2 linked regions of the Callithrix jacchus genome follow. The protein of the gene in region 2 purifies or fractionates together with the protein of the main gene of each other region. This does not show direct contact. Links are inferred from orthologs where the notes say so. Each region holds a gene or a part of one and is shown on either strand. Other genes may lie near its edges.

Evidence for each region.
Region 1: the proteins of TRAF3IP2 (region 2) and CD40 purify together in Homo sapiens (affinity purification with western blotting, with the first as the bait; 3 studies listed by BioGRID). This does not show direct contact. The link is inferred for Callithrix jacchus from reciprocal best matches to the Homo sapiens genes TRAF3IP2 and CD40.

The regions. Positions count from the first base shown.
Region 1 is NC_133506.1:41,361,525-41,367,411, reverse strand, and holds the end of CD40 (tumor necrosis factor receptor superfamily member 5), read right to left. Parts: intron 3,206-5,887; coding exon 3,144-3,205; intron 1,832-3,143; coding exon of another isoform or gene 1,745-1,831; intron 1,647-1,744; coding exon 1,618-1,646; intron 1,100-1,617; coding exon 950-1,099; 3' UTR 458-949; downstream 1-457.
Region 2 is NC_133505.1:117,825,320-117,831,206, reverse strand, and holds part of TRAF3IP2 (E3 ubiquitin ligase TRAF3IP2), read left to right. Parts: intron 1-3,906; coding exon 3,907-4,085; intron 4,086-5,887. UniProt on the Homo sapiens protein: E3 ubiquitin ligase that catalyzes 'Lys-63'-linked polyubiquitination of target protein, enhancing protein-protein interaction and cell signaling. Transfers ubiquitin from E2 ubiquitin-conjugating enzyme UBE2V1-UBE2N to substrate protein.

The DNA.
Region 1 (5,887 bases), on a different chromosome or scaffold from region 2:
TGGAGAGGCAGCAACCTGGGACATTCTCATGGATCTACAGAAAATGCCCTCATTCCTGAGCCTGGCAGCAGGTTAAACAGCTCATGTCACCCAGCATGTTCGCCCCTGTTTTTCTTTTTACATGTTTGATGATTTTTTAAATTACATAAGCATTACGTGAATTCACTCTCCTTTTGGGAAAAAAAATGAAGCATTATGGGAAAACCAAATCTCCCTTTAACCAACCCTCCCCCAGCCCCTTCTTCCCCACCCCAGACGTCACCACTCTTCGAGCTGTGGGTTTTCTGTGTATCCTTCCAGAACACTTGTTATACCAATATATGATGTATATTATATTTATACATATAGCCATAGGCAACATACATACATAAAAGCATGTACTTTTTTTTTAAAGGTTTCATACCCATCATTCAGCAACACACTTTTTTCCTTACTCGACAGTGTTTTTGAGACTCTGTTGTATAAACATATTCCAATTTTATTTAGCTCAGGACCCAAAGTGCGGGTTTCCTGCTGATGGACAGTTAAGCAGCATCCCGTTGTTTACTATCACAAACAACGCTGCAGTGGGCATCCATGTATGTGGCTTCCTGTGTGCAGGGAAGCCACTACGACGCCTCTCGGGGCACCAAACTGCTGGATCGGAAGGCCTGGTGGATATTGCTATATCACAGCCCCCACCACCACCACCAAAGTTCTGCCTCTGTCTTTAATACAAGTTGGGAGACTGGATGGGCTCAAGGGATGAAGTGAGAGGTTCTTCAAGGTGAAGTGTTTCTGCATCCGCTGTTAAGTCTCCTGTCTCAACATGCAGGGATGCAAGCAGGAGGGAGGAGCTGTGCCCAGTCAGTGCCAGTCCCTCACCCTCATGTCACAGCAGCAGTAGCACCAGGCTCTCTGGCAAGGTGCCTGTTTGCCCACATGGCCACACTCCTGGGTGCGTCCAGCTTCACTGTCTCTCCTGCACTGAGATGCGACTCTCTTTACCATCCTCCTGGGCAACTGGTTGACATCCATGTAAAGTCTCCTGCACTGGAGGGGTAGGGTTGGGGCCAGGAAGATCGTCTATCTCCTGGGGAATCTGCTTGGTGCAGGGGGCCTGGGGAGGCAAGGTGTGAGGTCACCCCAGCAACAGGGGCAGCTGTGCCTCTGAGGAGCCCCTCCCTGGGAAGTGGATCCCCTCCCCAAGCTCTTTCCCTTTCCCAGATGGCAGGTCAGTGCCAATTCCTCGGGTACCTCCTGCCCCCTGCTGGCCACACCAAGGGTGAGGAGGAGCTTCCAGAGTGGGAGTCAGTGAGCTTACGGGGCTGCTACATTTGCTCCCACCCATCTGACCTAGCCCCAAGACCCAAAGATGCAGCTCCCCACGTGTTGAATGTCAGGAAAGGCATGGAGAACAGCCAGTGTTAGGCTCTGCCAGGGGTACCAGGGGCAGTTCTGCGGAGATTGAACTCTGGATGGAAGGAGCATGGTGGGTGGGGGTGAGAGTCCCCAATTCTGCTGCCACCCCCCTGGCGGCAGGGACAGACTCTGAATCAGTTTTACTGCCCTATAGGTAACCATGAGGCCATCTTTCCAGTTTGCCAAAACTCTGTCCCGGTCTCAGGGATGACCTACCTTATCCTGTGGCTTCCTGTCCACCTTTTCTAGAGAAAAAGAAAATGAAAGGGGAGTTGGAGAGGCTAGATCGGTAAACAGGTGGTCCCCACTCCCTTCCCCATCACCTCCCCACCTGGGGACTCACTGATAAAGACCAGCACCAGGAGGATGGCAAACAGGATCCCCAACATGATGGGGATCACCGCCAGGAGTCTCAGCCGATTCTGGGGACCTGGAGAAATCAGGACTTCGGCATGCACCCCCCGACCTGCAGTTTCTCCCCACCCCAAACCTGCTGTGACATTTCAGACTCCAGAATCCTCCAGTGTCAGAGCTCATCTACATCAAAGGGTTCAAACCGTGGCCCTTGGGGAAACGTGGCTGGCAGATGTCTTTAAAGGAACCAGAACATTTTTTAATGTTTGGAAATATTTGCCGGCATTTTAAAACTGGGAGATCACCTATTAAAACTAGACATCTGATTTCTCTTACAAACTGGGAAGACCAGGTTTCAGTGGGCAGCCTCCCCACCTGGGAACCATCAGCAAGAAGCAAGTAGCAGCCGTGGCTGTCACCACCTGCTTACCACGCTCCCCATCACTCCCTGCTCTCTGTCCAGTGCTGAAGTCTAGCATGATTCATGTCAGCATGTTGCTTTTGGTATAGAAGAGTGGAGGGGAAAGGTAAAGTATTTCTCGTGCCTGGTTTTTTTTTTCTAAGTAGAAAAATAAAAGACCAAAAGGCAGGGCAGCGACTAGGGTGAGGCAAGGAATGAAATTGTTTCAGGACAAAATTGAAAAGGACGACCCAAAAACTCAGGCATCAAGATAAGTACTCTTTTCATGCCATATTTTGGAAATCATCAGGCAGACACCAAGTCAGCAAACTACGGCCTGCAGGCTGGCTGCCTATTCATTTTATTGGAACCAGAGCCAGGATTAGGGTGAGGCAAGAGAGGCAGAGTCATGCAAACACAGGGTTGGGTCCTGTTCTTTATTTAAAATGTTGCTATCTTGCTCATCGTGGATTTCTTTGCATTAATTTTTATTTTTAAAAATATTGCATCAAAATGAATCTACCAATAAATAATTTAAAAGATGAATCTACCTTGATTATTACACTTTTAAGGCACCTTCTTAAATATTGTGCTGAAGGGCAAGTGCCATGCTCACCTCATTCTAGTCCCAGCCCTAGGAATAGGAAAGTAAATTTTAAGAGAAAGCAAAGGGAATGTATTTTTCTTACCCCTGACCTTTTTCACTGATTAACATTATCTGATCTGTGCTGTAGGCCAACCTTCTCCCTCTAAAATCAAAATCTACCAAGGGAGGTGCTGTTATCCCATTATACAGATGAAGAAACTGAGGCTAAGAGAGGAGAAGTGATTTGCCCAGGCTCCCAAGGTAAGTGGCAGAGCTGTGATACCACACCCCCAAACTGCCTCCCCTCCCCCTTTTCTCATCCAGTGTCCCTGTGTGCCTCCGCCTCCCCTTTCAGCCCCCACCTTCCCAGGCTGTCTCTGGGGCCCATTTTCCAGGACTCACCACAGACAGCATCAGTCTTGTCTGTTCCTGCCTGTTGCTCAGCCAGGCCTTTGGTCTCACACCTACGCACACACATGTGCACAAATGCGCACGTACACACACAGAGAGAGAGAGAGAGAGAGAGAGAAAGAGAGAGAGAGAGAGAGAGAGAGAGAGAGAGAGAGAGAGAGATACTAAGTTTCCACAAGCATAAGATTTCCAACTCTAGAGCAAGTCAGTCAACAATCAACAAATCTAGGTTCACTGAGCACACAGTATGTGCCACATCCTATGCTGGTTATTATAGGAATGACACACACTCTGTCCTCACAGAACTTAAAAGTGCTGAGAAAAGATTATTGCACATCTTGAAGGAGTAATAAATAGGGGAGTCTATAATGAGTGCCAAGCTTTGTGATATAGGTAGGCTTAAGTGAGATGGGAATGGTTCAGAGGAGGCAGAATCCACCATGGCTGGAATGGAGAGATGATGAGTTCAGTTTAAGACAGGGTTACTCAATCTCAGCACCAGTGACATTTGGGCTGGATCATTCTTTGGGGGGCGGGGGCTGCCCTATGTATTGCAGATGTTCAGCAGCATCCCTGGCCTTTATCTGTCAGATCCCTGTAGCATCCCTGTCTCCATTTGTGACAAATGAAATGTGTCCAGACATTGGCAAACGTTCCACAGGGAGCCCCCTTTTGAAAACCTCCCGTTTAAGGGTCTTCCGGAAAGGCTTCCCTGCAGACAAAAGACCTAAGTGGGCCAGCTACGTGGGACGATGTGATGGGGAAATCAGGCAGGTGGCATGCAGGACGGTGTTAGGGACCTATGGAAAATTGGGTCTTTAGAACCAGATCACTGGCAGGTGTGATGTTTTCGACTGGATTCACCTGGTCAGTCTCATCAGCATCCAACCAGAGGACTTCACTAGTGAGAGGATTCAGCTGCTTAGAGAGCTCAGAGGCGGAGAAATTACAGAAGAGTGGCCAGCTAGGAGGCACAGCAAGCATCTAGATATGAGATGATGAAGACCTGGTCCAGGGTGGCCCCAGGAGTGGAGCAGGATGGACACAGGCCATTGCAAAGGAAAAATTATCTAAGGTAGGAGAAAAAGAGAGACGCTTTGAAGAAAGCAAGTCTTACATGAGTAGAGCATTCAGTTTACAACACACTTTACATGCCTTTAGCTCAAGCCTTGTGAAATGATGGTCATTCCCATTTTCCAGATGAGGACACTGAGGCTCAGTGAGGCTCACACACTTACTGAGCTGTAATCAGATTTGTAAGCCAGTGCACTGATTCTATAAATACTATGCCACTAGTGCCTCCAGTAGTCGGTCAACATTTATCAGTAAAAATTTATACAGCACCTATTATGCATGAGGTACTGTTCTAGGTATAGGGAATGTATCAGTGAAAGAAAAAAAAAAAGGCCAAGTCTCTACATTTAAAGAATATGCAATATTCTAGGGAAAGGCTGACAGTTAACAAATAAAGTGTATATGGTATACTCCTATTTGTGCGAAAGTAAAAGGAGGGAGTGTGTGTGTGTGTGTTGGTTTATTTATATGTAGAATCTCTGGAAGGATATGCAAGGAACAATGGCTGCCTCCAGAGAGAACTGGGAGGCGAAGGGGCAGGGATGCGAGAAAGACACGGAGACATCACTTTGGATCTTCTATGCTTTCTGTCCCATATGTCTATCTTGCCCATTTTTAAAAATGAAAAGCAAAAAGTCAATGGGGCAGGTATTTGTTTTTTGAGACCGAATGTTGCTCTGTTGCCTAGGCTGAAGTGCAGTAGCACAATCTCAGCTCACTGCAACCTCCACCTCCCAGATTCAAGCATTTCTCCTGCCTCAGCCTCCTGAGTAGCTGGGATTACAGGTGCCCACCACCACACCCAGCTAATTTTTTTGTATTTGATGAGATGGGATTTCACCATGTTGACCTGGCTGTTCTTAAATTCCTGACCTCAAGTGATCCATCCACCTCAGCCTTCCAAAGTGCTGGGATTACAGATGTGAGCCATCACAGCTGGCCTGGGGCAGGTGTTTAAGGTATGCCAGGCAGATGAGTTTGATGGAAGAGAATGAACAGTGTGGTCAGAGGATTGCAAGTATGCACCTACGCACAGACATGTGCACAAATGCACACACACAGGGAAGAGATCAGGAAATGCAGCAGGAAGGGCAGGTGCCATGCTAAGAAGTCTGGGTTCCAACAGAGACACAGGAACCATCTCAAATAGGAGAGTGTCATGATCTGAAAGAAACTGTAGAATGCTCACGTTGGCAAGAGGATGGAGAGAGAACCAGCTGAGGGGAGAAACCAGAGGCAGGGAGGTCAGGAAGCAGCAAAGGCATCACCCGGACCACAGTGATGAGGTCCAAACTAAAGCAACAGTGAAGATGGTGAGTAAGTTCCCAAAACATGTAGACAGCCAGAGGGCAGGATCTGGTGCAGGTTTGGTGCTAGAGGTAAGACAGGGACTCCCTCAGAGTGAGCATCCAGAACCCAGAAAGCCCTAGAAAGTCAGGTAAGCTGAAAGCAAGAGGAGGAAAACTGAGGAGAAGCAGGAGGGGTAGAAGGAAAGCTAAAAGAAGTGTCCTAATACCCCCAAGATGTGAGGCTCTCATGAAGCAAGAGATCACCAGTGTCTATTACCTCTAAAAGAGAGCAGGCAAGAAAAATGCAGACATGTGCCCATCTGGTTGGCCATGAGGCCACTCTGCAGATGCTTCACAAGTGCATGAGTATGT
Region 2 (5,887 bases):
GACTCATTGCAACCTCTACCTTAAGGTTCAAGCCATCCTCCCATGTCAGCCCGCCAAGTAGCTAGGACTATAAGCATGGGCCACCATGTCTAGCTAATTTTTACATATTTTGTAGAGATGGGGTCTTCTTATGTTGTCCAGCTGGTCTTGAACTCCTGGGCTCAAGTGATCCACCCACCTTGGCCTTCCAAAGTGCTGGTATCATAGGCATGAACCACTGCGCCTGGCCTACTAGTTTCTTTTGTAATAAAAACATTCAAACATGGCTGGGCATGGTGGCTTACGTCTGTAATCCCAGCATTTTGGCAGGCTGAGGCGGGCAGATCACCTGAGGTCAGGAGTTCGAGAGCAGCCTGACCGACATGGAGAAACCCCGTCTCTACTAAAAATGCAAAATCAGCTGGGTGCAGTGGCGCATGCTTGTAATCCCAGCTACTCAGAAGGTTGAGGCAGGAGAATCACTTGAACCCGGGAGGCAGAAGCTGCAGTGAGCCAAGATTGCGCCATTGCACTGCAGCCTAGGCAACAAGAGCGAAACTCTGTCTCAAAAAAAAAACCAATCATACATGTTGAGCACCATTCTTAGGTCTCTCCTATGCTTCTTCAGAAAAACAACTTTGCTTTTTCATGACTTCAGTCGTCAACTTTTTAATCATTTTTTCCCCTTATTCCCTTTGAACTCTCCATCAGGTTTTCCTTTTCTCTTAATTTATGGATCTAAAACACACAGGTAAAACTCATGTAAATGGAGCCTCCTCATTTATGACAATATTTGGAAGAAAGTAGATTAAATGTTCACTCTTGCTGAAAAATAACTTTTATATACCACTCTAAAACTAGATTCCATTTTTATAGCATAGAGTAAAATATGAAGTTCTTATTAGAGTGGATGTTTCAGAAATACACAAAGTGGTAATTGGTTTGAAAATTGCCTTGAAAGAAAAAAAGCCCACTTTATTAATGATGGTGAAGAGGCACATGCCTGCTTTCCCTTTTGTTCAGAAGCCCACAAACCTTCATATTTTCTTCTAGACCGATCCCTTTTTTTCTTTTTCCTTTTTTTTTTTTTTTTTTTAAGACAGGATCTGACTCTGTCACTCAGGCTGGAGTGCAGTGGTGTGATCTCAACTCACTGCAACCTCTGCCTTCAACGCTCAAGTCATCTTCCCACCTCAGCCTCTCAAGAGTAGCTGGAACTACAGGTGTCCGCTACCACATCCGGCTAATTTTTCTTAGTTTTTGCAGAGAAGGAGTCTCATTTTGTTGCCCAGGCTGGTCTCAAACTCCTGGCCTCAAGTGATCCACCCACATCAGCCTCCCAAAGTGCTGGGATTACAAGTGTGAGCCTCTGGGCTGGGCCAGACCCCTTATTTTTCTAAACCATAAATACATAGAGTTTAAACAATGGAATAAGATAAAATGTGATTTTATAGCAAGATAGGCACTCTTACAGAAGAAATATCTAAAATTCCAAGGAAATAAACAAAATGTAAATATCTTTATGAAATAAGTTTGGTGTTGAATAGAAAAGAGAATAGTAATTTTTAAATTTTTTATTTTGAAACAATTTAGACTTAGAAAAGAGTTGCAAAGGTAATACAGAGTTTGGTTTTGTAGCATCAATTTAAGCCTGCTATGGTCTTCTTGATTTATTTTATCATTTAGGATAATGAAAAATAAGTTCAGGTAAACTTGGTGGCTCACACCTGTAATCCCAGCACTTTGGGAGGCTGAGGTAGGTAGATTATTTGAGCCCAGGAATTTGAGACCAGCCTGGGCAACATAGCGAAAACCCATCTCTACAAAAAAATACAAAAATTATCTGGGTGTGGTGGCACATACCTGTGGTTCCAGCTACTCAGGGGGCTGAGGCAGGAAAACTGCCCAAGTCCAGGAGGTCAGGGCTGCAGTGAGCCATGATTATGCCACTGCACTTCAGCCTGGGTGACAGAGTGAGACTCTGTCTCAAAAACTAGCAAACAACACACACACACACACACACATACACACACACACACACCCCTATCCAACTGAGGCTGGGCATGGTGGCTCACAGCTGTAATTCCAGCACTTTGGGAGGCCAAAGGCAGGAAGATCGCTTAAGGCTAGGATTTCATGACCAGCTTGGACAACATGTTGATACCCTGTTTCTACCAAAGTAATGCAAAAATTAGCCAGGCATGGTGGTCCCAGCTACTCGGGAGGCTGAGGTGAGAAAATCACCTGAGCCCAGGAGGTCAAGGCTGCAGTGAGCTGTGACTGAGCCACTGCACTCCAGCCTGAGCAAGACCCTGTCTCAAAAAAAAAAAAGAAAAGAAATGAAAAGAAGCTAATTCTCCTCTTATTGATAGTTTGAAAGAGAATTTTAATATGGAAAGTTTATTCTGTCATTAATTTCCATGGTGTTGTTTTTACACAGAAGTTTTTGACTATTATCAAGGCCTTAACATTTCTTTATCATATAAGCAATCATCTTCTATAACAACTAAGCAACTTTTGAAACAATTTTTTTTGGTATAAAGTAATTTAACGCAAAAAAATTTGGAATGGGTTTTTCTTGGAGAAATTTAAAAAAAAAGAAAATGAGAAAAAAATATGGAATGGGATTCTCCCATTAGATGAAAGCATATTTTATAGAAATTATTTTCTCTATAGTAATAAAAATATAAAATAATCTTAAGCATTCATATTTTCAAAATATAGTACAGTTGAGATTCTGTGTAATTTTATTTTAAATCCTGTTATATAAGACTTTTAGAATTTCTGATTACTCTTTGGGTAAAAATATGAAAAGCATAAGCAACAATCTACAAAAACTGGGCATATACATAGAGATTTTGTAGTCAAAACATTTTTTAAAATTTATAATATGACACAGTTTCAAACACACAACAAATAACAGCATCCATGTTCCCACTACCCAGATTTTACGAATGTTAACATATTGTCACATTTGCTTCAGAATCTTTTTTTAAGAAATAAAACACTATAGAGACAGTTTTAGTCCCACCACCGGTTAGCGCAATACCACAGAACAGGGCCACCAAAAAGGCTGCCTCCTCTGGCGGTCAGGAAGGGACAAAATCAGAAAGCCAGCGCTGCTGTGACCACTGCAATGGTTGGGTCTGTTCTGTGCCAGATAGATCTCCACTGGCAAAAAATGGATGTCCATGCCCTGCCCTCAATGCCTCCGAAGCTGGTAACAGGACACTGGGATGCCCTCTGGGGAAAACTCAGCACCTTGTCACTGTGTTTACCAACAGAAACCACAGAAGCGGCAGAGGTGTGCTGTCCGTTTCCATCTGCCGGCCAAATCTCAGATGGGCATCTGATTGTCCATCGCAGCAGAATGTTCATGGGAATACTGGCAACCAAAATGATAAAGCTGCTATCTAATATGGTAGAAACTTCTTTAAAGGGTCTTCAAAATCAGATTTCCATTCATATGTCAATGGTACAAATACTTCTAAACCTACATGGCCCTCTTTACCTTTTAATACATAATTAAATGTTACGTAGTATGAGCTAAACGTCATATCTTTTTATCTGAATGCCTATAACTATAACATCAACCATCTGTGTCACCTGTCATACTACTTTGTTTTGTTGGTGACTTTGCCCTGTGCATGAGACTTGTTTTTCCAATTAAACAAATCTTGAATAGAGTAATCAAATCCCGCTTCCCTTTTACGACTTGGAGCACAGGCCTTCACATGTGGCTGCCAGCTGAACGGCTTATTGACTAAAATTCCATGGAGCTCCCTTCTTCCTTCTGTCTCAGATAAGAAATAGAAGCAGAGGAGAGGTAGCCCACTGGGATCTTCCCATAGTTCTAAAAGGCTCTCTGTCCCTGAAGGTTTGCCTTTGTAAAGAATGAAAATTGACTGTAAGTGTATTCCTTTCTAGGGACCAGCCGCACCACCAACTACCTAAGAGAGCTCGTGCTCCTGGGGAGTCCTTGGAGTCCCCTGCCGAGCTGAGACCACAGGTTCCCCAGCCTCCGTCCCCAGCTGCTGTGCCTAGACCCCTTAGCAACCCTCCAGCCAGAGGAACTCTAAAAACAAGCAATTTGCCAGAAGAATTGCGTAAGTTGTTTGCAACATCGTTCTCTCCTTCTTGTCACTTCTTGTACTTTGTGATGGTTGGATGATCACTCATCCATGTCTCAGTTTTTTTTTTTTTTCCAGACAGGGTCTCAGTCCTGTTGCTCAGGCTGGAGTGCAGTAGTGTGATCATGGCTAACGGCAGCCTCAACCCCCCAGGCTCAAGTGATTCTCCCACTAGGGTTACAGGGGCACACCACCACACCCAGATAATTTGCTTATACTTTTGCTAGAGATGGGGTTTCGCCATGTTGCTTAGGCTGGTCTCGAACTGCTGGACTCAAGCGATCCACCCACCTTGGCCTCCCAAAGTGTTAGGATTACAGGCGTGAGCCACTGCACCTGGCCTCATAACCTCAGCTATTTCTCATAGACACACTAAAATAAAATGCACGTTTTTGCTTAAAAAGTAATCAGCATTTTGTATGAATGTTTTTAGTGATTCTGACACCACTAGTAATGCTCTCAAACTGCTTACCTCTAGATTTCCTTAAGCACATACTCCAAAAATAAATAACCCCAATGTCTTTTCCCTATTCTAAATGATGCTCTTGAGTGGACTTGTCCCTGGGTAAATTGATTGGATGTCCATGTGGTATTGGACAAGGACCCAGCATCTCACCATAAGTTACCAGCAGCCATCAAGAACGAGGTCATTTCCTGTAGGAATGAGCAATCTTGTTTGGAAAAAACGGTCTCACATTCTCCAAACTGCAACACAACCAAATGCAAACTAAGCCTTTTATTTAAAGAAACATTCGACTAAGCGTAAGGTGATGATTCTTTTTCCACATTTTGCTGCCAGAACCAGAAATGTTGAAATACCACCAAAATGTTCTCATATTAAGGTCAGTCAGGATGGTAATTTCCAGAAATCTTAAGAAAACAGCCACTACTTGTGCAATTATTACATGATGTGCTTGCTAGAGAAGCTCGGGTAATTCTAATATGCATTTTCCAAATCTGGGAACCTTTTTGAACCAAACCTGAAATGAGGCCTTTTGTATGTGCTGATTCCTTTTGGGGGATCTGTGCTGATTAGTCATTGACAATTCCAAAAGATTTCTATGACAATGATTCATTGCTATTTTCATTCAAAACATTTTATTTCTGAACACTTTCTTCAAATCTTAATCATTTTAATTTTGAGCATTTCTGGAGAACAAATCCTGCCCTGCATATGTCATAGTTCTGATATAAGTTTATAGATCATATATATCTTACCATAATCTATAAAGGAAATCCTAAAATACACAAGAATTGGGTGAATGTTAGGTGTTCAGATGAAAATTGAGTGCCATCAATATATCTGGCTGTTTAAATGAGTTAATATGACCATTACACATACTTCCATTTGGGAGGTGTGTTTCAAAAAACCTCAGTATAGATACAGACTCATATTTTCTCTCCAGCCCCCATTTCTTCTCCATCCTCTGCCCCAAGGGCTTCCTGAGATTTAACTGGTCCATTCCAGACTAAAAGCCAACACAGAGAGATTATTCAGCATTCACATTAAAATGCTAGCCAGACAATTTCCTCAAGACTTTAGCCTGAGAAAACACTGGTTCATCCTGACTGGGTTAATCTCGTCCAAACGGTACTGTCTGCTGCTCTAAGCTGACCCAGGGATGAGTGAGGGAGTCTGTGATGTTAGACTGCCCAGAGACAGTGTCTCTCCTTCAAGCCGCTCAAGTTTTTCTTACTAACATTTCTGAGCTGTGCTTTGGTCTACTCCAAACTTCCTGGCCTTTCTCTAGAAGTGAGTGGATTGCAGGGAAGAAGGG